4 linked regions of the Schizosaccharomyces pombe genome follow. The gene in region 3 interacts genetically with the main gene of each other region. Each region holds a gene or a part of one and is shown on either strand. Other genes may lie near its edges.

Region 1 (3,295 bases), 590 kb from region 3:
AATGCACAAGCAGTCAATCGCACTGTTTGAGTTTTTGAAAAAATGCATGCCAGTCAAGATTGGATATGTTGTAAATGATGATGAATACTGTGTTATACCCTTTTATTTTCCTTTTAAATTCAAAGAAAGCAATGAACAACTCACTAATCATCTAAGCAACGAAAGAGAAAAAAGAATAGAAAAAAACGTCTATTAACAAGTTAACCAAAAACACTAAAATACTACGTATAGCAATTTCAATCTTCTCGCTATGTCCTACAGACAACCAACTCATGGTTACGTATAACTATACTAAAGCAGTGGTACTCCATCCTTATGCAACAATTCTACAAATGGAAATTTTACAAGACACAGATTTTAACGTACTTTTAAAGTATCTTACCTTTATTTAGATACGCTTAAAATCTCTAACCTTTTTTATCATCCTTTTTCTTTACCAAACTGGTTTACTTGTTTCTTTCCTTGGCAAAAACCGAGCTACGCAATGATCGGCAAAGTAAATATCCATTTTCACCGACAAGATATGGTACTCACTAAGTAATTTCCATTATGTAGCAACAATAACTCTTCCTATACATTTTTGTTGCCTACAATCCCATAGACTATGTCACGTTGCACTCTTCCAAAAAGGACTACCCCAGAAAGAGAGAGAGATATGAGGAAAAAAATTTTTGCTTCTAAATAACTAGAGCAAACAAGTCCCACTGTTGTCAATCGTCGGGTACAGCACAATAATCTCACTAGTAAAAACATGCCATATTCATCTCTGTTTTACCAAAATAGAAAATCAACCTTACATTGCATAATATAGGAATACGGAAGCGAGCCCTATACAGATGGACTGGGTTATGGCGGTTATAGACAAAGGCGCTTTCAAAACCATAATGGATTTGAAACGCTCAAGTAGTGGAAAACACATAATAGTAAGTATAATGCCAAATCCTTTGTAGAAAATACACAGACCTTTTTATTGAAATCGTGAATATGATTCTTTTTTTTTTGGTGATCTCTTTTCTTATTAATGCTATATCTTTTGAATTTATTTGTTTTTTCTTTTATTTAGTAGTATTTTTTTTGCATTTTGTTATTTATCTGTTCGCTTTTCTGTTGTACATGTAATAGTTGCAACGTACAGACAAATTAAATTTTTATTATTCTTATATTTTTTATTATTTCCAAGCTTATCACATAAATTACGATTAAAATACCTAAAGTGCAAAATATGATTTCCAAATTGATGATTCAATCAAGCAAAATAATTTTCTTTTGAGATAAGGAAGAATTTGTTAAATAATCAAAAGCACAATTTATAAGGTACAACGATTTTGAAAGTCGCTAGTATATATGTACACAAATCTTGTTCTGTATTCCGTGACAGGCTTTGTATTTGAACAAAGTATTGCCCAGCTAGACAAAAATCGTTTGGGCAACAAAATTTTAAAGTAGCAAGAAATAGCTTCAAACAATTAGTTGATGCTTGAAAAAATACAAAGAAATTTTTCTTACCGAATTTTTTCCAGAAACAACGATACAATACTTATATAGGTGAAATTTCCCGAGAAAGCTTTTTAAATTCCCCAACTTGGAATTCCAAGGTTGATTTATCAATAAGTAATTTCTTTACAAAAACGAATGATTTTTAAATGTCTGTAATTTATGCCTTTAGCATAATGTTCATCAATAGATCAGGAAATTCGTTTACTCATCTCTAGCTTATTGTTTACTAATTAAGGCACTATACTGATCATAGTCGCTCACAGTGTGTATTGGCTTTTACGATAATGATACACTCGCTTTTCCATCACTTACCGCAAAATAATGAGTTACAGCGAAAGAAAATTGCACTTGTCAAAGACAAACTAGCTTGTCATAAACACCAGTGCCTTCCCCATCAAGCAAGGAGGAATCCCAATGTCGGCAATAGGGTCTTTGATATTTTGCTCAGAATGCGGTAACTTGTTGGAATCGACTACTGCCCAATGGACTACTTGTGATCAGTGTCAATCCGTTTATCCTTCTGAGCAATTTGCCAATTTGGTAGTGGAAACGAAGAGTAGTGCAAGTGCTTTTCCTTCTGCTTTAAAACTCAAGCACAGTATCGTTCAAGTAGAATCTCAGAAGGAGGAGGCAGCAACGGTATGTAACTTATTTTTGTCTATTCTTTTCGAATCCTTTTTTTCATGTTGGTTGTCATTCTTCTTTCCTTTTAGGCTTTGTATCATTTGGAAAACTTTTTTTTTTTTAAGAATGCATTAGGAGAGTCTAATCAAGGAACTTTTTTGTATCATATATCCAGTGAATTGAAAAATCGGCACAGTCAGGCAAAGGACTTTATCATAGTCCTTTTTTGGGTTTATTGCCATACTAACAAAGTTTTGTAGATTGAGGAAAAATGTCCAAAATGTGGAAACGACCATATGACTTTCCATACTTTGCAATTGAGGTCTGCTGATGAAGGTTCTACGGTGTTTTACGAATGTCCTCGATGTGCTTATAAATTTAGTACAAACAATTAGATTGAGTTTTCATCTGTTAATCATTCTTTTGGTTGTGATTTTCTCAATATTTCACTGTTTCTTACGCCGTTCTTCATGTATGTATGCTGACTGATTTGTATGAAGACTATTGTTTTTAATATCTTCGATTGTCCTTCTGCTTCCGTTATTTTCATGCTCGATAAATTTTATTTGTCTAGTAATACGGCAACGTTCATGAAATAGAAAGAGATGCTCTTGATATCCGATTTTCTTGTTTTGTCTTCTATTTTATCCAGGTGTTAAAAAAAATAACAGTTCTTCTGTTCTTGTTGGTTCTATTTTTCGGGGTTACTTTTTGTTTAAAAAATAATATGGTATAACTTATTCCTTTATTCATTATTGTCTTTCCTGGTTCAAACTAAATAGAGAAAATTCATTGTCTATCACGATTGAACCTGTGGATACTTCCTTTCTCAGAATTTTTAAAGAGTTTGAGTTTCAATGTTTATCAGCATTTTATGAATAGTAGTATATCGGTTATTTATTTCTTTTTCTCTAATATGGAAATGAATGTGTAACGAAATGGAGCGTACTATGTACCGTAACACTCAAGAGCCCAAATGGGCAGGTAGGTGTTCAACCATTTGAAATATATTCTCACCTGCCTTTTCACATATGGCGTCTGTTAAATCCTTTAAACGAAAATATTTAAAACTTCGAAAGTCATTTGATTCGGTAGTCCTTGAAACAGAGGAAATTGAACAAAAGATTGCTGAAATATCAGAAGTTTATCGCAGAATTTTATTAGAAAATGCGTA
Region 2 (8,662 bases), on a different chromosome or scaffold from region 3:
CACTATATTATATTCGTTAGCAAACGAACCCAATTTGAAAAATAAAAAAAAACAGAATAATATCTATTTAAAAAAAAAAAAAAAATTATAAGACATACCCTTTCGATCGTCCGCTAATCTTGTCTCGAACAATTTGAGCATCGCGAACAGGACCAGCTTGTTCGAAAAAATCATATAATTCCCTAGAAGTCAAACGATTTGCGAGTTGAGAAACGAACACAGTACGGCGATCACGCTCTTCCTCTGAAAGTTTAGAGGAGCGTTCACGAGGACGGGAACGACTTCTCTTACGCTCATGTGAACGGTCATCATCCCTCAAGTCCTCATAATCATAATCATGGGCTCTAGAAGAACGAGAGGAGCGTTCTTCATAGCGGCGACGACTACGACTATGCCGCGAAGAGTAAGGAGGGCTGCGTGAATAATCATCGTATCGATGGCGACTACGACTTGAGGGATGGCGGCTTCGACTTGACCTTGAACTGCGATCGCGATCGCGAGAACGAACGGGTGATCTACTTTGATGAGAATCTACAGAAGAGTGAGGAGAGGGAGAGCGACTACCATAATCGGACCTTGGACTATATGATCTCCTATGGTGTCTTGGGGTGCGATGACTTGAGGAATTTGTAACTACATCATCGTTATAACCGCTATCCTCTCGTTGAAAAGATTGTTTGGAAGATCTGGCGTACCGATAACCCATTGAAACGGGAGGAGGAGTTAGACGACCTTCACTTTCGTAATTTTTAGACACGGGTTTGAAAGAGCGATCATGCAACCGTGTAGGCGGTGGAGGAGGGTTAGAGGGATGACTATGAGTGGAAGAGGTGAGTGAGGATTCATGAAAAGAAGAAGATGCCTTTTGCTGATTTTCTTGATTTTGCGGCTAGGAAAAGGGTTAGTAAAAACAATAAACACGGGAAGACAAAAAAACAAAGGGAAAAGGCGGGAAGGAAGGAAAAAAATTGTAAACGTACCACTTCTTGCTTACGAAAAGGAGCCTCAGCCAAGGCTTCCGCGTCCAGCTGCATTTAGATTAGATCTGTTTATCTATGCGTGGAAAATACGTTCGTTTATTTTCGTTTTCAATACAACAAACTCTGACAGGATCGGAACAGACTTCGACTGGAAAACTAAGTAAGCTAGTAAAAATGGAGTTTTGTCAGTCTAGTAGCTTTCGTCGCTTCTAACACGAATTGTTTTGTTAAAAAATATTAATAATGAGTACTCTTTTGAGCTATTTTGTCCTCTTTCTTTCGGTGGAAAAAAAAGTGGAATATTCTACTGCCTAAGCGATAAAAGATGAGAGAAATTTTAGTACAAACAAAAAAGAAAGCGAGGAATAGCGGAATAAGGAAATTCCAAGCTAAAAACAATTACCGACAATAAGAAGCAAAGAAACGGAAAGGAAGGAAAACAAAATTATACCTAACCAAACCAACGAAAAGTAAATCACGAAAAGTTAATAAATTTCGATCAACTTAAGGTTTTCTCTTTTCAAGTATTTTTTCGCAAATAATAATTTTTAGTCTACTATGAATAAATCAATGAATTGTATCTGTAAAGCACTTCACTCGTCTGTTCTTTCCCTGTGTATAGGCCCTTGAGTGCAATTTTCTGGTGTTCAGTTTCGGAACCCGTTTTGCGATACGGTAAATATTGTTTTCCGTTGTCTTACCATTTTTCGGAAAAGTCGATCAAAAATAGCACGATTTTTTGGTTCGCCCCGCAATGCCTTTTTGCCCTTTCCTGCGACATATATAGGCTACTGCATCCACGCCACAACATCGTGCCATTAACGCAACACAAACAAAGAACTGACATTTTGATCAATTGGACAAAAATCCAAGTAAAGAATCATAGGATCAGTTGCTACGTTGTAATATTTACTGTATTTGTTTATCAAACTCATCAGAAACACGCTTGCTACAGTTTTATCACGAATTAACAATTCATACTCCCATCTCCAAAATGGCCTCTGTTACTAGTGAAAAGTGTGTTATCCTTTCTGACGGCACTGAATACGATGGTAAGTATTTAAACAAGGAGAAATGGCAGGGTGTTTGGGTTTTGAGAAGGAGATTTGGTTGAAGGACTAAAATTTTTTCTCGGCAACAGAGTGTTTGAGAGGCAATGTATAAAAAACAATGAAAACGCATATAGCAAAGGCTTATTGGCAAAAGATCCATTGTGGGAGATGTGCCATTTCTTATCTTTTTTCTTTGTTCGTTGTGCTTTTAACTTTTTTTCACCTTTCCCCCTTTGCCTTAGTTACACCAAAATACATGTATCGTTCTTTATACTAACATTCCATTAGTCACCAACTACTTGGTTGCCAACAAGGACGCTGCTGACTTGCTTCGTCGCTATCACCGCCAAGAGGTTGCTGATATCCTTAATGCTACCTCCAAGTCCAAGCACTCTGAAGCTGTTGTTGAGATCTTGAAAAGTGCTAAGGTTCCTTTGAAGAATAAGGAATTCAGTGATCTTGTCGACCAGAACATTGGTGTCGGTTATGGCAATGAATTCATTGTCAAGCCTACCGATCTTGACAAGGATTTCGAGAAGAACCATTTCCTTGACCTCAAGAAGCCTTTATTGCCCCAAATTTTGTTTGGTAACATCAAGAAGGATGTTTATTTGGACCAAGTTCACCGTCCCCGTCATTACCGTGGCAGCGGTTCTGCTCCTTTGTTTGGAAACTTTTTGGAGCCTCTTACCAAGACCCCTTGGTATATGATTCCATTGATTTGGGTTCCCTGTGTCACTTATGGATTCTTGTACGCCTGTACCGGAATTCCCTTCTCTGTTGCTATCACCTTCTTCATCATTGGATTATTCACCTGGACTTTGGTTGAATATACTATGCATCGTTTCCTCTTCCACTTGGATGAGTACACCCCTGATCATCCTATTTTCTTGACTATGCACTTCGCATTCCACGGTTGCCACCACTTCTTACCTGCTGACAAGTACCGTCTTGTAATGCCTCCTGCTTTGTTCCTTATCTTTGCCACTCCCTGGTATCACTTTATTCAACTTGTTCTTCCTCACTACATTGGTGTTGCTGGTTTCTCTGGTGCCATTCTTGGTTACGTTTTCTACGATCTTACCCACTATTTCTTACATCACCGTCGTATGCCCAATGCTTACTTGACTGATTTGAAGACCTGGCATTTGGACCATCACTACAAGGATTACAAGTCTGCCTATGGTATCACCAGCTGGTTTTGGGACCGTGTTTTTGGAACTGAGGGACCTCTTTTCAACGAACAGGGAAAGATCAGCACTAAGGCTAAGTAGATTGTGATTGCGTTTGAATCATTTAGCTGCTAAATTGCTTTCAAGGTGTTAAAAGTTTCTTTGGTCCTTTTTAACTATCAATAATTTTGTGTGCTATATAAATCTTGTTGTATTTTTCTTTTCTTTTTTAATTGCTTTCCAAATTTTTTCTCCTCTCTTTACCCTTGAAATCACTAAGCAATTTTCCCCCATTTTCTCTCTGACTTTAACTAGGCCTTATTATAGTGCCTTAAAGCTGTGTATTATATTTGAATTGCAGAAACATCAAATTTGATTTAATTTGATTGATCCACTCGCTAAAGCATCTTGTATCCCACATTGAAATTGTCTTGTCTTTCTTCTTTTCTATTAATACTATTTTCTGGTTTCTTTTGAACAAGTTTTCAAACTTTACCTTGTTAAGTCGAACTTAATAATATTATCTTGACTATCGGCTATATAATTTGAGTCTAAGGTTGCTATTTTATTTTTCCTTTTATCTGTCTTTTAAATATAATTCGAATTTTTAATTGTTTTTACCACCCCATCTGTTTGTAGTGCGAAATGATTTTCTTGTAGAAGCATCTCCATATCATAAGAGCGCTGAATAGTTTTTGTTGACCAAATATGCAACGCCGAGACGAAAAATTTAGGAAGAAGATGAATAGAGATATCCACAATATATATGTTTTAACTATATTTAAGGGTCATTTTACATTTGTTTATAAAATGTAAAAAAATTTATTAAAAAGATCGTAATGAAAGGTGTGGGACTCGAACCCACGAGCTTTCGCACTAGTGCCTTAAACTAGCTCCATAACCACTCGGACAACCTTCCTTTTTTGAGTATTAGGGTAACTTAAATCATCATATAGGATTTCACTAATAAATTTTTATTTTAAAAATTTGTTTTCTTGTGAATAAAAGTGTAGCAATTTACTGATTATTTAACCAGAAAATAGATTTTAGACAAAATCTATAAAAATATTTGTTAACAGAAACTAGCTTGTGGGGAATGCGTTTAGAATTCCTCAATTACAAGTTGCAGGTAAATTTACCCTAGTGTTTGTTAAGCGGACGTCGAGTTATTAACCATTACTATTGACGTTGGTTAACATGAATAAGCTTGAATTATTGCCAAGTCATTTTCCTGACACTTTCAGATTTGTTTATTTGTTTTTTTCTCAACCTCTGACATTTAGATGCATAATACATGTCAAAGACTTCTTAAATGATTACGATCATCATGCCTTGAAGGAGTTTCCTCAATTTCTTGCCGATAAAGACTATAGTAAAAAATGATCTAGCAAAACTGAGTAAGCATTGTTTATGATTAAAGCATTGCTATTATAACGCTACAGCTTAATGGTAACTACCTTACATTTATTAACATTATAGGTAAGAATATGCTGTAAAAACCGCCAACTCATCTGGTGGTGAAGATAATCCTCGCAGCTAAAACAGAGGGATTCATTCAAGAATTGAATATTGCTAAATCAATTAAATACCGAATCTAACGTTCAACTTATTCTTGCCTGTAAAACTGTTTTCTATTCAACTTACACTGTTTAGTTGGAACAAATCTGCTTTTGGTTACACGTTTGTTCCTTATCTGATCAGATAATTCTTCATTTTAAAGTTCCAAAGACTCCTCTCTTAGATGCTGCACAACGTCAGTCAGATATTCTGTATGCCAAGCCAGACTTGGCTGATGTCATCTGACTAAGTTTTTGGAAATCTATATAAATAGCGATATACGGCCCTTTCTCGCACTCTTTTCACCTAAACAGAGCATTTTTAAAGAAGAAATTTATTAATTCTTGCTGCGATTCTCTTTTCTTTTGCTTGCAAAAATCTCGGTTTAACGTTTATTCCATTCATTTCTATTTAACAATTTTTATCCTGCAACTTTTAAAGTAGCGCCTCTTTGTAGCTTACTCTTTTTCTACTTTCAAGTTCTTTCGTACTCTTAACATTTTCAACATGCTTATCGCTGCTATGGGCCCTAAGATTCCCGTCCCTGCTTATGGGGTTGGTACAGCTTTGTTTAAGAAAGAAAAGGGAGAAATCAATCGAACCATTGTAGATTCGGTAAAGAATGCACTTGCTGCTGGTTTCATTCATATCGACTGCGCGGAAGTATATGGCAACGAAGAGGAAGTTGGGGTGGCTTTGAAGGAAGCTAATGTTCCAAGAAGCAAACTCTTTATTACTTCCAAGGTTATGCATAATGTCGATAACATTCCTGAAGCCCTCAACGAATCTTTACGTAAGCTTGGTACTGACTATTTGGACCTGTACCTTTTGCATAGTCCTATTCCTTTCTATGAAAAGAAAATACCCATTTCTGAAGGTTGGAAAGCAATGGAAACGGCTTTGGGAACCGGTCTTGTCCACTCAGTTGGTGTTTCTAACTTTCGTATTCCCGACTTAGAGGAGCTGTTGAAAACTTCAACTATTACTCCTCGTGTCAACCAAATCGAATTTCACCCTCAAGTATACAAGGCCGCGAAGCCTCTTGTAGAATTTTGCCAGAGTAAAGGAATTATCGTTGAGGGTTATGGCCCTCTTTCTCCCTTGGTTCGTGATGCGCAAGGTCCTGTTGCTGAATTCACTAAATCATTGGAGAGCAAGTACCATGTTTCTGATACTCAAATTCTTCTCAAGTGGGCCTATTCTAAAGGCGTTATACCTATCACTACTACCTCAAAAATTGAGCGTATGAAGGAGTGCTTGAATTTTGATTCTTTCACTCTAGACAAGGCTGACATTGACGAACTTGGTACCTTAGGTGTTCAACATCACAAGCGTACATTTATGAAGCACATGGATGAGTAATACTTTTATGTGATCAAGATAATTTTTATTACGAAGCACTTAGTTATGGACAATCTATTTCAATTACAATCGACTGTTTACATCTTAAACCAAAAATTTTTGTATGCAGTAATTATCGGCGTAGTAATATTGGTCGGGAATTATAACTATGTTGTTACTATTACGACACAAACCGCGAGAATTGAAGAAATACTTACAGTGAAAAGTTTTCCAACAGCGTTACTTACTACTACTACAAAAACAAATATTTATGTAATTCATCATTATATCTTTCAAATATTAAAATCAATTTAATTAATAAAACGCAAAGATTAATTATGGCTACTGTATATTAGCCAATAGTCAGTCATATTCGGTTCATATCAACTATTCAGTAGATGTAAAATGTCCAACTGATGACACTTTAAGCAAAAAGAGAACCATCTATCCAGCTGTTCAACATTTCTAAACTAGCTTCGGGTTGGTTGAAAGGAACCATGTGTCCAGCTTCGTAGAGGCGAAGATAACCAAAGTTTTTGAAAGACTTACCACGACCAGCTTCCTTTCCATTAGGACTCCAAGGCTTCAATTCGGCCTCATAAAACTCACGTTGACCAGCCCACTCAAGTGCGTCGGTCCAAGCTTCATTGCCCATGTAATTGCAAATGTAGTCAGCATCACCGGCATAGATAAGAACGGGTAGGCCAGCTTCTAAGATTGCGGTGACATCGTCACGGAAAGTCTTACGCATCCAGTCACCCTTGAAAAGGAAACCAATGTTTACTTCAGTATTGCATCCCTTGTAATCGTATTCAACTCCCAAAGCTTCTTGAACAAATTCTTGGTTCAAGTAACTCTCAATTGCACCGGTTTCGGGGTAGCATAAGTGCTCTTGGTCACGGCATTCTTCACGAATATCATAAATGTTGAGTCCAGTCTTAGTAAATGGTCCAATCATAGCGTTATTGCAATACAAAGAGGCACCAATGCAAACAGGAGTAAAGCCAGTCTGGTAACAGCCAGTGATTAGCTTAGCGCAGGTATCATAGGCACCAGTAATGCGATCACATTCCTCTTGGGACATAATAGGACCGTAAGGGCTCTCGCAAGCCATTTTTCCGTAAAAGTAGTATTGGACCAAAGGATCAGTCAAACCATTTCCAATCAAGACACTCTTCAAATTGATGTATTGCTTCTCCATTTCATAGCCGCTGGCAACAAAGAAGTTAGCACCTTGGTTATGCTCCATAATTTCCTTGGCAAACTGGGGGATGTAATGGCCAGCATAGGATTCACCAGCAATGTGAAAGTCCAAATGAGCGTACTGAGGGAACTTGGCAAAGAAAAGGTTCAAGAATGCATAAACATCCTTACCAGCCGTAACAGTGTCAAGAACCGAGTCATCTCCGTTGCTGAAACCCGTGTTGATAGGTTGATCCAAAAAGATAACTGAAGCATTGGAGTTCCAACTGTGAGGGTTATATTCGGGTTTAAGAGTCTCAATGTTGATTGAAGAAGGACCTAATTCCATGAACAAACCAGTAAGGGAAGAGCAACCAGGACCACCGTTCAACCACAACACGACGGGATCATTCTCGGGATCATTTCTAGATTCAAAGAACCAGAAGAAAAGATGTCTGTCATCTTCGACATCTAAGTAACCGGTGTATTGCTTAACAGTGTCAATACCAAGTGATTCAGGTTTGGAATCTTTAACGCGAAGAGTGTGATCAGGGAAAGCCTTTAAATTTACATGTTCACCATTCTCTTCTTGTGAAAAAACAGCGTAGGGACGTGAAGAATCAGCAGGTTGAGCATTAGATGGCTTAGCAGGATGACTCTGGTCACGGAAAGCAGTCATAGGATCAATACCTTCAGCCTTGAGCATTTCAAGGTAGGCAAATTGTTCAGGAGTGAGATCACTCAACTCCAAATCATCGTCGAATTCAAATAGGGGGGGAATTGATGAATCCTTTGGGGCATTTTCTTGAATATGTACAGGAATGTTACCATAGTATTCAATACCAAGAGTGTCTAAAAAGCGAGAAAACTCTTCGGCAATTTCTTCAACAGGAACAGAATTGATGAGGTCAGCGAAAGCCTCAATGACCAAAAGCTCATGAGAACTTTGCATGTTTTGCTCAGGACGTTCGTTGTGCTTCTCCTTAGGTCCTTGATGGTGCTCCTTGTCCTTAGGTCCCTTGTGGTGCTCCTTGTCCTTAGGTCCCTTGTGGTGCTCCTTATCCTTAGGTCCCTTATGGTGCTCCTTATCCTTAGGTCCCTTATGGTGCTCCTTATCCTTAGGTCCCTTATGGTGCTCCTTATCCTTGGGTCCCTTATGGTGTTCCTTGTCCTCAGGTCCACGATGATGCTCAGGACCTTCATGCTCCTCAAGCTCATGGTGTTTGAAAGGAGGAGGAGGCATGTGCTCTCCAGGCTCGTGATGCATAGGAGGAGGAGGCATGTGCTCTCCAGGCTCGTGATGCATAGGAGGAGGAGGCATGTGCTCTCCAGGTTCGTGGTGCATAGGAGGAGGAGGCATGTGCTCTCCAGGTTCGTG
Region 3 (8,057 bases):
AAAGGAAGGCTTGGATCTGTTTGGGATGAACGCTTTTCACTCTGGGTTTCGTTGGTAATAGTGGCAGCGGTGACGGCGGAAAATTTGGAGGAGGACGTTTCAGTACTAAGGCATGATTCACGCTTCGAAAGTTCAGTAGAAGTAGATAAGAAATCAGTTGGAGGTATCTCTAAAGAAAGTCTGAACTTGCTTTCGTATTCATTGTTAGAATCAACGACTGGATTCTGCAGATAAGCACATGATGTAAATGCAGGATGATTACTAGGCGTAATTGAAGCATAGTCAGAGTTATTTTCGTGCTCAAGTATGTTATGATGACTGTAAATGGGATACACTAAAGCATCTAGTGCATGTTCACTCTCGCTAGATAAACTGGAGGATGGAGACATTATGTAGTTATTAACATCGTCTGCATCATCGGCATCGTCTTCAGTAGTATCATTGTAAAGATCTAAAACATCATCTAATTCATAATCTGAAGGTGTTTTATCCTGTTCACTACTTCCAAAGTGGATTGATGCATCTGACAGGTGAGCATTCTCCTCTTTAAAATTTGCATCATTCATAATCGTCGAATGTTCAGTGATGCCAGCCATTTTGAAATTCTCTTCTTATGTCGAGAATTCCCTGACTATCACACATGCGACGCTGGTGCTTCGGGCTTCTGGCTTTCTTTCAAAAAATCTCTTAGTTCTTCAACAATGCTTTCTTCATAAAAATTCCTTTCCAGTACCATTACTACCCAGCTGGGAGATTTTTGAGTAATTGAATGAATAATTGCCTTTCAATAACCAGATTTCTTATGCTCCACTTTCTATATGACTAAAATGCGTGGTTGGTAAACGCCAAGAATATATGCATAGTACGCGCTTTTGCAACAAAGCGTGGTGGTGTTAAATGGGCCTACCATGATACCATAATATCGAGGTTACCGAGGTACTTAGCAACACTCATGATAAGATTCCTTCTAAACTATATTTACTACATCTTTTTCGTAAAAAATGCTAAAAAGTATTAATATTATATGAATATATCTAATTTTTTAATAAAATTTACGACTTAGCTATTTTTAAGCAACTTGGATATTACCGTGTAATGAAAATTTTTATTTTTATTTTTATTTTATTTTATTAAGTCGTTGTTCCTTCAAACAAAAAATTTGTAGTACGATTGGCAAGGTAATGCAATTGGGTGATCTATAAAGCGAAAAATAGAGTGTGATCCACCAATATGAAAAATAGTGCTATAAAAATCTGGGGTTTTTTAAATCAATAAAATATTAGATAATTTGGTAGTTTGCTTCCTCTTTTTCCTTTAAATAAATAAAATACTTCACAAATAACCAAATGTCAATTTTGCAAAACAATAAATAAATAAATGAGTCTAACGTTTGGAATTAAGTATCCTCATTGTTCAAAAAACACACATCCGGTTATACAAACCCTAAAGTGTCCGACGAAAGCCAGGAATTAAGCATATTGTTCTTCAATACGCTTTCGAATACGAAGTGCATTTAGCAAGTGTTTCCACTGCCCATAAATAATTTTTCTCTCTTTCATCTGCTGCTTCTCTATTCTGATTTTTTCACACTCAAGAAATTCTTCGTAAACCATTTGAGCCGACTCTTCAGGTACAATTATACCTGTAGTAACTGGAATCGCACGATGTTTACGAAATTCAAACCCTGTAACTGCATCCGCATAATCAATGTTGAGTTTCTTGGCAATTTTAGCAATTCCTCGATATGGCAAATGTGCTGCGCCCTTGGGGATCATGCTCTCAACAAAACAATCCATATTACCATAACCGTTCTTAGGAATAATACCATCTTTGATTGGAGGCGGAACATATAGCTCAGTTTGATCGGAAGAATATAGACCCTGAAGCACTGGTTCATTTGTTTCAGCAACCCGAAATTCGTGTTCACGCTTCCTGCTAATTGTGACGGCTCTCGCCTTCACCATTTTTCGAGGTTGTTCTCCTTCCTTAATTACTCGTCCTTCTTTGTGATAATTTTCAGGCGTTTTGCATATGACCACATCTTTTCGGAGATACACTTCCTCAGAGGTAGCTTTCTTACCGTTACCAAAGGTTGCTGTCTTCACAGGCTTGGCGTTAGGAAGCAATGCTTCTTCTCTTCTAAGATGTCTAATCAATACAAATTCAGGATGATTCTTAAAATCTGCAAAGCTTTTAGGTTCGCGAATGGGCACTTTACTTTCCAGTTCTTTCTCTTCATATATATCCTCTGCATCTTTATTGCGCTTTGCTAGTTGCCCAAAAATAGCCTTATAAAAATCAAAATACTTATCTGCAAAAGAAACGTGTCGAATTTTCTTAAGCCTACTTGATTGGTAATCTGTATACCTCAAAGTTACATCTTTTGCGTATAAATCGTTATCATATGCAGCAACAATACCCATTCGTAGATGTTTTGACTCTGCATACGCTCCTTTGGGTTCAAACCAAGTCATATCGTTGGTATATACCCCATTCAAGACAACCGCATCTACCGCAATCCATTTCTTCTCACTTTGATCATAGATTTCCGTCCAAAAAATAGGATAGCGGAGGTCGTCATCTATAGATGTACTAGTTTCTTCAGGGAGGATATGTGGAGACCAATCATCATAGGAAGCAGTAGAAAATGTCAAAGGTTGAAGAGAAAATATAAGTCTTGCTTTCAGATTCAGAGATCGACAGAGAGCAGTAAATCCCTGTGCCGCCAAATCCCGGCTTCCTTTTAGCGAAAGTAAGGATGCTTGGTATTCATGAAAGTTATGAAATATTTCTGGCGAAAAGCCGATATCAAATCCTTGTTTCAAAGTACGATACCCCAACTTCCGAAGCCCATGACTCTCAATTTTAAAAGATTTATTCCACCACATCCGAAGCCCATTTAACAATTTTAACAAATCCTCGTGCGTCTGGCTACTACAAACCCACGCCTCCACTACGGACGGTTGCTTTTCGACAAGCAAATCGCGCAGCCCATCAAGAAGTAAGGAATTCATTAACCAGCGATTCCTTACTGACCCATGGTACAACAAGCAAGTAAAGTGCATAATGTGAATAGATAATCGAATGCTTTTATCCATTGCACTAGAAGAGCCTTTCTTCGATTCTTTTGTAAGTTGAGGAGTGATATGCTGTGTGACTATGTGTAAATCTTTTTTATCTTCTTGTTTATTAGGAGAAAGATCAACTTGTTCCCAAGTGTCAAAATCGTCGTCAAACTCGTCATCTTCTGAGCTGCCTAACTTCTCATTGTCTTCATCGGAACCTTTTTCGGATGAAGATGCGCTCCTTTGAAGTGAGTTTAACGCTGATATATTGTCATCTAAACTCTCAGAAGGAGGTTCCGCTGAGGAAGACAAACTTGGCTTTTTCGACTGGCTACGAGTTTGACGGTGAGTTGAAGATACAACAGTTTCCTCTTTCACTTCAGGATTAAGAGGTAAGTTATTGGTCCGTGTCCTACGTTTCCTTCCGCGAACAGAGTTCTTGGATGCTTTGCGTTTGGGTGGCATTGAGCAAAGAGTTTATGTGAATTGAATCAACTTTAGGATAATGCTTGTTTAACCGCTGGTTCAAATAATATCAATAACGATAAATTGAATAAAAAGTTGTAATCACAGCCACATCTGATATATTCTTAGTTAAAGAATTATTATTTCAAGCAATCTCTCCAACAAGAAAGCAAAATTCTAACAATGGCTGTGATGATGATTATTAAAAAGTCCTTTGAAAAAGAGGTCAGTATCAACTGCGCAAGAATGGCGAGTAGTTTGTTTGCTGAATATTATGAGCTATATTAACTACTTTTGATTTCAACCGTGAAATAAAGATTTAAAAAATTTAAATCTGAAACATAACATGAAAATAAATTATTAAATAAAAAGTTAAACCACATGCATCACTATTAATAAGAGACAATAAACATAAGTCAAAAAAAACTTCAGCCGTTAAATTTTAAGGAAATAATTCATTAATTAGTAAAACGTCAAACGAAACTGTTTAAATTTATGTCACTGATCGAGCTTATATTTCCTAAAAATAGGAATTTTAAATCGACGACTGATTTTGCACAGCAGTAGTAGTGGTAAAGTTGAAACCATCAATAACACCAATACTTAGGAACATCAACCTGCGAAAGCAAATTCTTTTTTTTTTCTTTTTTATTGCACACTTGTTTACGTACCGGATTTAAAAAGTTATCTTAATAAAAAACTTTTTATCCTTCATTGTTGCAATTGAAGTCGATAATAGCAAGCTCGACCTAGCTAATTAAAAAGCCTTTGCTACTCTAATTAATACGTAAGGTTTGAATCCTGAAACGGAGAAGTGCCCTAATTTCGTTCATTAGTATACGAATATCGGAATTTACCTTTCAGGTCCATGGTTTGTTTCATTTCTAATTCGGCGTTGTTTTATACTCAAAAAGTACACCTGAATTTCAAAACATTGCTTAAAAATCTTTTCAATGGGAAAGTTAATCCGTCGTACATCGCTGACTTCTAAAATAATCAATCTTCCGATCGATTACTTTATCTATGTTTGCGAACAATTTGACAGTGTAGAGTGGGATAAAGTATCAGATCGTTATTCGATTCCCTTTAGCTTGGCTGTCAATTTTATTTTTCTCTTAATGCGCATTTATATAAAAAGTACGCATGTACCAGTTCAACGCAACCAGCTCTTTGTGGATAAGCAGTCCATCAACACCTCTAGGTCCTGGTTTCGTGCCTTCCTATCATTTCTCTCAATTTGTTTTCTTTTCATCAGCTTTCTCAATTTCATATTTAGCACTCGATTTCAAAATAAGCTGTATAGAACTTTGCCTCAAGACAAACGCACGACGACTTCTACTCCCAATGTAAAACCAGTTTTCCAGCACTCAAATAATGATGATGGCGATGAACAAGTTTTTGAATTGAAAGTATGGAGCCCAAATCAATTTTTACTAAATTTTGCTTGCTTATTTTCTCCTGCTCATGCCTTGATTTTATGGTTTTATAGCACTTCTCTACGCGTGACTTTGTTGACTTTTCTCCTTTCGTTTACAACATTGCATTTTGTCAATAAATTTTCCTTACTGCTGAAAGATCAACAATATCTTCATCGCCAGGTATTCTTTGAGTATGATAAGAAATTTGTAGAACCTCGACTTTCGGTAGTTAAACGAGATGTTGCCATTAATACTACTCGTGGTCCCACAACCGCATCTATTGAATATTTCACACCCCGAAAACCCATAGATACCTTCCTTGAACACCGAAGTTCTTCACATGATCATCTCACTTCAACACCCCGTACCCCTATAGCGCTTCAAAGAAGAAGTGTTCATCATCTTCATGACAGCGGAATTAGTCGTGACAGCAGCTCACCATTTAAGAGATTTCCACATCTTAGTGATGGTAGTTCTCGCTTTTAATATTTGTCTGAATTACATGGTTTTTGAATGACCCACTGCATTTCCATTTATCATTGTTGTTTCTGTTAATTCCTATTTTCGAAAAGTTTTAAGTCATAACTCAATTCAGACCTGAAATAATTGTATTCATGAAGACTAATTAGGGTATCAAACACCGTCATTCTAAAAACTTTCGATGATCGACTTAGAACCAAATCCTTATAATTTAAGCTTATTCAATATGATCTCTTATTAAAATCCTTACATGATTATAAATATGAATACTCTTGTTTGTTAGAAAATATATTTAAAAGTGATAATGTGCATCAATTTTGTATCTAAACTAATATGTAAAAATCGAAGCAAAATTTCTAAAAGGAAAATAAATTATATTAAACGTGCAAACCGATTAACTAAAATGATTTTTAGAAAAAACTCAGCTTTGTAAAAAAGGCAATTGTTATTTCTAACAAAAGACGCACAACAAAACAATTCGTTTCCGTGCAGCAAGTAGAAAATTACAAAAATTTTATCAATAAGGTCATAAATGAGAAAAATGAGAAAGTCCCAAAGAGATAGTTGAACAAGGTCAAGCAGTTTTAGGTTATAGCAGCCATAAAAATGGGAAGAGCTATTATGTAGATTTCATTCACAAGCAAATAGTGCGAACAATTATTCAACAAATTTGACGGATGAAGGAAAATAAATGAGAGTGAACAAACATAGAATAAGGCCAGCTTTAATTTCAAGTCAAAATTAATTTTCCTCTTCAGCTTGTGTCGTAACCCCATGAGCCCGACATAACGGGCAGGAATTATTACCAGTGGTAAGCCACTGATCGATGCAGGCCTGATGGAAAAAATGTTTACAAGCCTGCAACTTGCGACATATGTCACCGTTAGTATAAGTTTCTAAACATATTAGACAAGAATCAGCACTAGAAAGTGAAGCATCATCGAAATATGCAAAAAGTCCGCCCGATCGTTTCACATCTTCATGAGAAGCGACTGGTTTCTTCGCTGGACCCAGGTATGTAGTAAGAGCCAACAAGTCTTCATACATGGGATTATCGCTAAACAAGCTAACTGTAGACAAAACTGGATGATGTTCTGGAAACAGACCACCAAACACATAGATAAGCCAATCACCATGGGTGCTATTAGAGAAAGTTCCCTCTGAATGCGTTTGAGTAACCATGTCGGCAGCCCCATTGGAAGCCAACGTACTAAAGTCGCTAGTATTATCATCAACAGAAAGTTGTTCCTCAAATCTATAGCTCCGTGCTAAGCTAGAACGTCTAGTTTGATTAGACAGTAAATCTCGATCAGACGGAAAATGATGGAGTCCTGTAGATAACCTTCCAGGCTGTGTGGAAAATGAGGAGGTATTATCGGTAGTCGGCTGATGAGTTTGTGACATCGAGAAATTGCCGGAGGCGTTCCTCGAAAAAACATTTGATTCAGAAGGCACTGTTGAAAACGGTCGTTGTGAATTGGAATTTGAACTATCCAATAATGAAGAAATGTAATCATCTCCAATGTGATTTTCTCCAGTTGAACCATTTACAGGTTCTTGAGCTCTTCTTAGTATACTTGAATTCCTTAAATCCACGGAAACAGTAGGTTGATTGTAGCGCGAAAACGAAGAAGTAGATTGATTACCCGAGTTGGACGTTGGAAACAAATTTCTGGAACCAGGAAAAAGATTTGCAGGGAAATCGGATACCGGCGTAAAAGCCTGGCTAAAGTCACTTCTTGTAGGTTCAGGATGTGAAAAAGTTGAATTGCTTCTCTCGAATGTAGGAGGAAGATCAGTGGAAAATTCAGTGGACTGAGCCATTCTTTCGGTTATATCGTTAATGGATATGTTTTCTCTACTCTCGTTATGAAGGCTTTGATTTTCTTGAGTCATAGTTGGCGCATGATCCTCGGAAGTCTCGGAAATGCTACGCATACAAACGATAAGGACAGGCACCAAAGCCGGTCCATTTGTATCTGAAGCTTCGTTATTAGAGGCAGGTTGATTGTGAGACTGATGAAACGACGGAAAACGGAACATCCTTAAGTATTGAAGGTCTGAGGAATTAGACTCAGGGTCAGAAGAAATTTGATCATTTCCATTTTGAGAAGAGTTTTGAAGAACATTAGTCAAATTTCCACTACGAAGGTCGGTTAAGAACTGTTCAAATGAACCATCAACAGAACGAAAGCGAGATGGTTCACCGTTTGCCATATTCTGGGAGTCCATATTCCTAGCTTCGCTATTCATAATTGAAGCAACTGTTTCAATGGCAGCAGCAGAAAGTAACCGGCTAAGCATATTGACGGTGCTTTCATCATTACCGTTAAGAGGTGTAAAATTCGAATGCGCTTCAGGATTGCTGGCATTCGGAAATTCTTCAGGAAAGTCATTAAATGCAGAAGCGATAGATGACCAAGACGACCGGCGGGTTTGAGAGTCATTATCATTAGAATTAGGGATGGGTGAAGGGGATTGATGTAGACGACTAAAATCTTGATTAAGATATTGACGCAAATGGTTTATTAAAGAAGGGGAGTTACCGGAGTTATTTAAAAGAGCATTATTTTCCAGAACAGTGGGAAGGGGATGTTCGTTGTTAATTGATTGAAGAGGTGTCGTGTAA
Region 4 (7,939 bases), on a different chromosome or scaffold from region 3:
TTTTAATCGGGTTCCCTGGAAGCAAAACCGAAAACGTTATCTATGCCGTCGATTTTGGCATGGCTAAGCAATATCGAGATCCAAAAACTCATGTTCATAGACCGTATAATGAACATAAGAGTCTATCTGGTACTGCACGTTATATGTCTATCAACACACATCTTGGTCGTGAGCAATCACGAAGAGATGATTTAGAATCCATGGGACACGTTTTCATGTATTTCCTTCGAGGTAGTCTTCCCTGGCAAGGGTTGAAAGCTGCTACAAATAAGCAAAAATACGAAAAAATTGGTGAAAAGAAACAAGTCACTCCTTTGAAAGAGCTATGCGAAGGATATCCAAAGGAATTTTTACAGTACATGATTTATGCTCGGAATTTGGGTTACGAAGAAGCTCCAGATTATGACTACCTACGAAGTCTGTTCGACAGTTTACTGCTTCGCATCAATGAAACTGATGACGGAAAGTATGATTGGACTCTCCTAAATAACGGAAAAGGATGGCAATACAGTGCAGCTAAGCAACATGTCGTCCAACGTCGACATACTCAGGGTACTAATAACAGGCGGCAGTCAACTATTCCTCCATATGCTCGTACTCGCCAGAATTTGCTCTCTAGCCCAAGTAAGCAAACTCCAGTCAATAACGTGGTTGATGCCAGTGTTGCGACGCAGAAAGATGGTATACCAGGGAAAGCGGCTTCTCCCCAAGTTCAACAACAACAGCAAACTTCTTCCGCTCAACAGCAGCAACCGCAACGGGTGGAGCAACCTGCTCCTCAGACTACCCAGCCTACACAGGTAGACACTCAACAAGCTGCTAAGCCTGCGCCCTCGAAAGAGAAATCACGAAAGAAGTTCCATCTTCGCTTACTGTCTTGCTGCATATCGAAACAAGAATAGTCATGATTATTCAACGTCTTTCCTTCTTGTCTTTCACTGTTATGTCGATACTTTTTTTATTTTTTTCCCATTATTAAATATCCGCTTACAATTTGCAACATAATACGTCCATACGATTCCTTCTTTAAATTAATTCTTCCGGAATCGTAATGTGACGTTAATCCCGGCTGCTTAAATTACATTGCTTACTGTTGTTCAAAAAAAAAATGCTCACTAGATGAGATTCTGTGTTTGTTGGCATTCTTTTTGATTTTGAAATTTTTGAACGTGTTGAGGATGAAGATTTTGATTCTAATTAGTACTAATTGTTGTCCTACCTTATATACATAGATTCATATTATTACTCCAATGCATTATGCATCATATGCAATTGAAGAGCGTAGAAGCATGTTCCTTGTCGTTGCATTTTACTTTTGAATCATTTGCAGCTGTCATACTTTTTCATTGTAAGTTATATCGATATATACATAAATAGTCAGAAGCTTCACTGAGCTACCAAATGTTGACTCATAAGGTAAAAGATGTTTGAGAAGAACATGCTCCAATTACTTTGGGTGAAGTATAGTGAATATTTAATTTATCTTATCATGCTAGAAAGTTATAGTCAGTAAACGTGGATAATGTACTTTACTTTATTCTAACTGCCATGAAGTATTGAGACAAATCTATCAAATTATATAAATTAAATATTAAATTTTTAACATGTCCGTTCATCGCTTGCAAAAGGAGTCAATAGGATATCACGATAATTTGGCAACCTACGGTTGTCTAAGATAAAATCTTGTTCTACACACGAATTTAAAGTATTTTAAAAGAAAGAAAAACAATTTCTTTCGTAAATAACTGCTACAGATTATAAACGAAAATTTTTAATAAACAAGAACCGGTAATCGCAGATTCGAAAAACAATTTCATAAGTGAAACTCTAGACCATTAAAGAATATAAACAAAATAATTTTTCAATCATGATAATTTTGAAGATGATTGATTTCGCATTATTTTTTGTTTAATATTCTAGCCATTCCAATAATTCAGGAGTAAAGTAAGTCAAAACTATGTTAGCGCCAGCACGCATAAAGCCATCCATGGTTTCCATCACATGTCTTTTTAATTCAAATACGCCAGCGGCAGCAGCAGCATGAATAATGGCGAATTCGCCTGAAACTTGATAAGTAGCAATAGGAAGGTCATCTGCTAGCTTAGAAGCCATTGCCAAAATATCGAGATAAGGTGTTCCCGGTTTTACCATAATACCATCAGCACCCTCTCTAACATCGCGAAGAATTGCTCTTTTGGCCAAGCCACGTGCATTACAGGGAAGTTGATAACAGCTGCGATCACCAAATTTTGGGGCACCATTAGCAGCAGCTCTGAAAGGACCAAAAAAACCAGAAGCGAACTTTGCAGAATAGGAAATAACGCATACTTTATGAGACAGTTCCAACTCTACAAGTTTCTGCTTAATCGCCTTAACACGACCGTCCATGCAGTCACTAGGAGAAATTATTTGAGCGCCTGCCAAGGCATAATTTCCACTAACTTCAGCAATTCTCTCAACGGATTTAGCATTATTGATAGTGCCATCTTCATATAACAGACCACAGTGGCCGTGATCAGTATACTCGCAGAGACAAACATCACAAGCAACAACCAGCTCCGGAAAAAGGTGACGAATTTCTTTAACGGCTTTAATAACTGGTCCATTTTCGGAATCGGCCATGCTACCACAATAGTCCTTTTTGGACTCGATGACACCAAACAGAATTACACTACGAAGACCTTTTTTGACGAGAGGACCCAAAAACTCTTCCAATCTATTAACACCCCATCTAAATTGATTAGGCATGCTATCAATGGCTTCCTTAGCATCATCTATTTCGGAAATGAAGATAGGATACATTAGAGATGACTTGGTAATGGGACGTACACCTTGCCATTCACGAAGCAACGGGTTTGAATACCCAGCATGCAAAAGAGAACTGATATCAACAGGCATATTAAATACTAACTGACAAAATTTATTTGATTTTTCCTAAAGATGTAAAACTGCGTAAAAAAAGCAGATTTGTGACAAATGGAACTAATGGACCAGCAAAAGCGCCTTTTATTGGTTATTTAAAAAAGTTCTAGCGGAAGATCAACAAGATTTCCTAAGAAATATTTTTAAAAAGGTAAGTGGCAGATGGCGAGAGGTTGGCGAAGGTTAAGATAAATAAGTTTAACTTTTTTTTAAAAAATCGGGCATCGGACCACGATATTTGTTGATTACATAACAATAGTATCACTCCTGAATAAATTGTTTGTCCTTGAAGAAATTAATTGTCGTAAGGGAATGCTGGGAGTATTCAAACAAGCGAAACAGGACGAACGCCAAAAGAAAATGACCAAATGAAAAATTTAGATATCATTTAGTTTACAAGGTGATCTCATTCTCCATTTCATTAGGAAGTGAAGATACTTGGAACTTGGGTTTGCTGTCGGCTTTACCAATTCTGAAATAGAAGAAACAATATGAATAAATGGACAGAACAATAATATTTATTTTAACCAATTCTTGGCCTTTTCTACTTCAGTGAGAAATTAAAAAGAGTATTTAAGTCTTTATACCTCTTCAACATCGCCTTGCTCCGTAGCAGATGCGTTGGTATTTGAAGTAGAAGGAGGAATTCGGACTAAAGCTCCTGAATGTTGGGATGCTATCTGTATTGACTCAAAAATGCTGGGCCAATTATTGAGAACAGTAGCAACAGCTGATTTTGTTAGTGATTTGAGTGTCAAACATTTATTATAATGGATTAAAAAGAGTCGTCAAGCATGTATGAGTAGTAGTGAAAATAGAAAAAATAAATAAATAAACAGATTATATTTTTTACGTTTAGGTGAATTATTGAGAGGTAGAAGTTCATTTAGAGACATGTCGGCAAATGATTGCTTTTATTTGCAATCCTGCAGATCCAATCAATTCACTTGTTTCTTTGCTTTTCTCAATGTAATGATATTTATACTTGTTCACATGAATAGCACTTAAACAGATTGGTGACAAGGCTCTTTTATATACTTTCCTCGTAATGAACATACCTTCACTTCCATCTGTTAAAGTTTCCAATTTAGCAGCAAGCGTTTCTATTTGTTGAACCATATCATTAGAAGAATCTCTTAGTTTGCATATTAGTTCGTATTCCTTTTGCTTTTCCTCAATCCTTGCTTGAAGCATGTTCACGCCAAATGTTTGTAGAAGAAGGTACGAAATTTACTAGATTTATCTCCTACACCATATAAGGCGATTTCGGTTTTGTAATTATACGTTTAAAACAAATAATTTCCGTTTCTGGAATTTTATATCTCGGAATGTATTACTAATAAAGAGGTTGATAATAGAGACTAACAAAAAATATAATGATTGATTTTACTCAATTTTAACCATTTGTTTTCATCTTTAATAAATTAGTTAGTTCATTAATTTAAAGTAATAATGAATTTAGGAAACTATGTTGAATAGTGAATATAATTACTCAAATAATGGGTCAAGTTTAGCTAGCTTATTATATCCATATTTTACTAAGTAAGTATGCATTGCTTCATCCCTCTAAAGTTTTAAAGAGGATCAAAACTGTGCATATTCTCTACTATTTCTTCTTTTATTTTTATTTTTATTTTTTTTTACACAAGGTATAATGGGCTTAAAAGACTTTTAAGATTTGGGTTCGATAGTATATTCTTTTGGTCAACAAGATTGTCAACGTTCCGATACATAAGGAAATGAATTTTTTATTCTAGACAGGATGCAACTTCCACGTATGTTTTCTAAAATTTGAACCGTATTTGACTAATTTAAAAATTCATAAAATGTCTCATCCACTATTGAAGTTTCTTCAATGATCGGTTCCAACGGGTCGTTAAAGAATACCCAACTTTTTTAGAACAAATTATAATAGAGTGGCTATTATCCATTTCTAATTAACAACTTTTTAACATACATCAAACCCTTGTTTACATGGTAATCGAGTATTTTCCTTCGCAAAAATTCACTATTACTCCAAATACTCAGTTACTGAATTGTTCGATCTCACAATTAAATTTCGCGCAGTATGTTATTATATTCTATATACAGTTTTAGAATAACGCACTTTATACATGGTTTTCGGCAATAACGTTTACATTTATATAACAATTAAACAAGTTATAATACCGTTATATCACAGAATGTCCCTGTAAATAAAAGTCAGTAAATAATCTATAGGAAAGAAAAAAAAGGAAAAGGATAAAAGGGTTAGGGGATTGAAAGGATCATTGATTTAAAATCTTTGGGTAGTAGCATCTTTATGTATCGCAGTACCGATGAGATCTTCTCCATTTTTGTAAAATTATTGAAAGAACTAATGGTAGGAATACTAAACATAAATTATCTTGTAGTTTTATTCAATGATCAAATAGTTAAAGATTTGGATGATTTCGCTACATTGATACTTGGATTCTATGAACAGCAAAACAATCGCTTTCCCTTCATGCTGAATTAACATTTCGATAACTAAAAACAGATTCTATACACTTTAAGTTCAGAGAATTTAAATTGTTGTTTTTTCCTTCGGCCCGTCTTCAAAGAAACACACTCAATTCATTACTGAAACTGGACTTGCTAAGAGTATTGTTAAAAGCGTAAAGCACACATTAATGTCTTTTGGTAATCCAAACACCAGTAATTATGTGTAATTATGAGTTTTTTCGATACAATTATTACGGTTAGAGGAAGACATGGTTTCCAAAATCATTATGCATTTCTTTCGAAATCAATTATCGATGTTTCAACCATCAACTGTTTTCAAATTGGTATTAATTAAAGAATGTAAGAAATAGAAATAAACGCTGTTTTCCTTTAAAGCAATACTTGATGCTTTATTTGAATTATCTCATTCATCCCAACGTGAAGTTGACGATTCGCTGTAAGCGAAAAATCCTTACTTAACTTCAGGTTTAAAGCAAAAAGAAATCAACAATAAAAAGAAATGTTAACGTGAGTTATGTTCGCGTTGAACTTTGTATCGATGGGGTTGTCACCGTTAAACGTCGTACTAGCTGTGGGTGTCTTTATCTCACTGCGTACCCTCCTTGTACTCATCAAAATACCCCATTTCGAAATGAGCTGTGTAAGTCGTCAAATACGCGATTCGTTTACTAATTTGATTATGAAAATAGCCTATAGATTCCAAAAAACTTGAAGAAATTTGCCTAGAAGCTGCTCAGCCGGTTTTGAAGGCTTCCGAATATGACGGAGACAAAACAGCTGAAATGAATCAATCTGTTATTGTAAGTTCATTTTATTTTACAAATATCTATGTATGGTAGCTAACTTTATGTCTCATTTAGTATGCCGTATTAAATGCTTTGAATAAGGAAACCCAGTCTTACAAATGGATTGTTAGTTCCACTCTTGTACAAAAGCTTCCCGAAGATCATCCTTCTAGAGGCGTTCACGCAGCTCACGCTGCTTGCTGGAATTGTGAAAAGGATGGAATGACTACTATCAAAGAGAGCGGTGAGGCTATTGACGTAGTATTGAGCATTATGTGGATCTCCATTTAATTACCATATTATCGAAACTGTTCCAATCATGATCATCTTCAAAGACCTCTTTGTTTCATTCCCTCTTTTTATCCCCTGGTACCAGTTTTTGCCTTAGATGCAAATTGCCTTTAACTTTGCAATTTACTAACTTTACTATCTACTCTTCTTTTCTACTTATTCCTATTATATGCAATCTACGATAGTTACGTTTCTTAAAATTCAGACATTTGTGAGCGCTCTGTAACATGTTCGTATTTTATAAGCATTTTGGTGTGTATACGATTCGTGTTCGTCCTTTTTCCAAAGGTTACAAAGGACGTTGAATCGTGTCAGTATTAGCTTGATCGAGCTTTACTTTGCTTGAACTCTCTAAGACTAGCAAGAAACTGAGGTACTTACAATAAAAATAGCGAAAAAGATTTTAAATTTGTTATATCATATACCTTTGCTTTAAGATTAAAATCATACATCTTTTTACAAGGCAGTAAAATGTTGTTTCAACTATGTAATTTATTAATTAATGTTTGGGAGCACCTGTCTAACTACCACGTTATTAGCCTACTAAACGCCATGCAGGCTTTTGCTTATAAACTATGATAATAGAGAAAAGTATAAATGCTAAGCAACTTTCTTTAAAGTTGTGGGATTCTTTTGTCAAAGAAAAACAAGTTTCTTTTGTGGCTGAAGGAGATGCTACTGTAAAACTAGTAAGTCTAGTTGAACTATTAAAACGTCGTTGTAACGAGCAGAAAATTCCCTTTAATCAAACGATTGAATTAATTCCTAGCGAGGAGCAGTCTTCTGACACTTTGATACACGGAAATCGGAGATCACTTCCTCAGTTGAAGATCGACCTACAGATTTTGGAGCATGACAGCTAAATAATACGCAAATTTTTACTCTTTTCAAAGTTACCAAAAATATTCTTCTTTCATTTGTATTCATACTTTATAGACGCTAATTCCCTGAACCAATCGATTGACAATTTACCAGTTTACGAGTTATATTACTGTTACTTTGTGAGTTTTTTGTTATAAATGATAGTACATTAATCGATGAAAACTCGATTTACCTTCTTCAATAATTGATGACCTGCAATGTCCTTTTGCCAATTTGTAGACGTCTAATATTATTTTTTCCATTCACGTCTTTGCGAATGATGCTATGGTAAAAGGGTTGAGTGGAACGAAATTAATTCATAATGCTGTTTTTTTCGCACATGGAATGGTTCAAATTGTGAAAGTTCGCTTTTTGGTCGCTCCAACGCTGCGAACAATAAAGTTTTGGATCTTCAATTGATTTCATCAATTCACTCTTATCCTCTTTTTTTTAGATCGCTGGTTCTAGCTTACACTGTATGATATGAACCGCTCTAGAAATTGGAATGAGATTCAATTGGTGAAAGTGAGGATCAAACTTGTATGGCTACGGAGTTTTTAATGGAGAGACACACCTTTAAGAATCTAAAGGCCCCA

What was found.
Region 1: mutations in nur1 (region 3) and rpa12 together harm fitness more than expected from each alone (negative genetic interaction), as found in Schizosaccharomyces pombe (2 studies listed by BioGRID).
Region 2: mutations in nur1 (region 3) and scs7 together harm fitness more than expected from each alone (negative genetic interaction), as found in Schizosaccharomyces pombe (2 studies listed by BioGRID).
Region 4: mutations in nur1 (region 3) and dad2 together harm fitness more than expected from each alone (negative genetic interaction), as found in Schizosaccharomyces pombe (2 studies listed by BioGRID).

The regions. Positions count from the first base shown.
Region 1 is NC_003421.2:1,038,222-1,041,516, forward strand, and holds rpa12 (DNA-directed RNA polymerase complex I TFIIS subunit Rpa12), read left to right. Parts: upstream 1-1,878; 5' UTR 1,879-1,911; coding exon 1,912-2,136; exon of another isoform or gene 2,137-2,381; coding exon 2,382-2,516; 3' UTR 2,517-2,795; downstream 2,796-3,295. Other genes in the region: Ino80 complex subunit Iec3, read left to right, coding at 3,153-3,292. UniProt on the Schizosaccharomyces pombe protein: DNA-dependent RNA polymerase catalyzes the transcription of DNA into RNA using the four ribonucleoside triphosphates as substrates. Component of RNA polymerase I which synthesizes ribosomal RNA precursors. Required for growth at higher temperatures.
Region 2 is NC_003424.3:4,054,984-4,063,645, forward strand, and holds scs7 (ER sphingosine hydroxylase Scs7), read left to right. Parts: upstream 1-1,792; 5' UTR 1,793-1,974; coding exon 1,975-2,032; intron 2,033-2,052; exon of another isoform or gene 2,053-2,320; coding exon 2,321-3,306; 3' UTR 3,307-3,832; downstream 3,833-8,662. Other genes in the region: RNA-binding protein Rsd1, read right to left, coding at 1-2, 99-889, 981-1,034; SPOM_SPAC19G12.09 (NADH/NADPH-dependent indole-3-acetaldehyde reductase AKR3C2), read left to right, coding at 5,269-6,123; cpy1 (vacuolar carboxypeptidase Y), read right to left, coding at 6,527-8,662. UniProt on the Schizosaccharomyces pombe protein: Ceramide hydroxylase involved in the hydroxylation of sphingolipid-associated very long chain fatty acids. Postulated to hydroxylate the very long chain fatty acid of dihydroceramides and phytoceramides at C-2.
Region 3 is NC_003421.2:447,842-455,898, reverse strand, and holds nur1 (protein nur1), read left to right. Parts: upstream 1-4,135; 5' UTR 4,136-4,483; coding exon 4,484-5,434; 3' UTR 5,435-5,690; downstream 5,691-8,057. Other genes in the region: GTPase-activating protein Gyp3, read right to left, coding at 1-596; DNA repair protein Rhp42, read right to left, coding at 1,470-3,530; SPOM_SPCC4G3.12C (ubiquitin-protein ligase E3), read right to left, coding at 6,170-8,057. UniProt on the Schizosaccharomyces pombe protein: Has a role in meiosis.
Region 4 is NC_003424.3:2,782,033-2,789,971, forward strand, and holds dad2 (DASH complex subunit Dad2), read right to left. Parts: upstream 4,261-7,939; 5' UTR 4,117-4,260; coding exon 3,981-4,116; exon of another isoform or gene 3,950-3,980; intron 3,653-3,949; coding exon 3,504-3,652; 3' UTR 3,127-3,503; downstream 1-3,126. Other genes in the region: serine/threonine protein kinase (CK1 family) Cki3, read left to right, coding at 1-902; porphobilinogen synthase Hem2, read right to left, coding at 1,909-2,898; dynein light chain Dlc1, read left to right, coding at 6,038-6,046, 6,096-6,206, 6,267-6,482; protein Pop6, read left to right, coding at 7,058-7,345. UniProt on the Schizosaccharomyces pombe protein: Component of the DASH complex that connects microtubules with kinetochores and couples microtubule depolymerisation to chromosome movement; it is involved in retrieving kinetochores to the spindle poles before their re-orientation on the spindle in early mitosis and allows microtubule depolymerization to pull chromosomes apart and resist detachment during anaphase.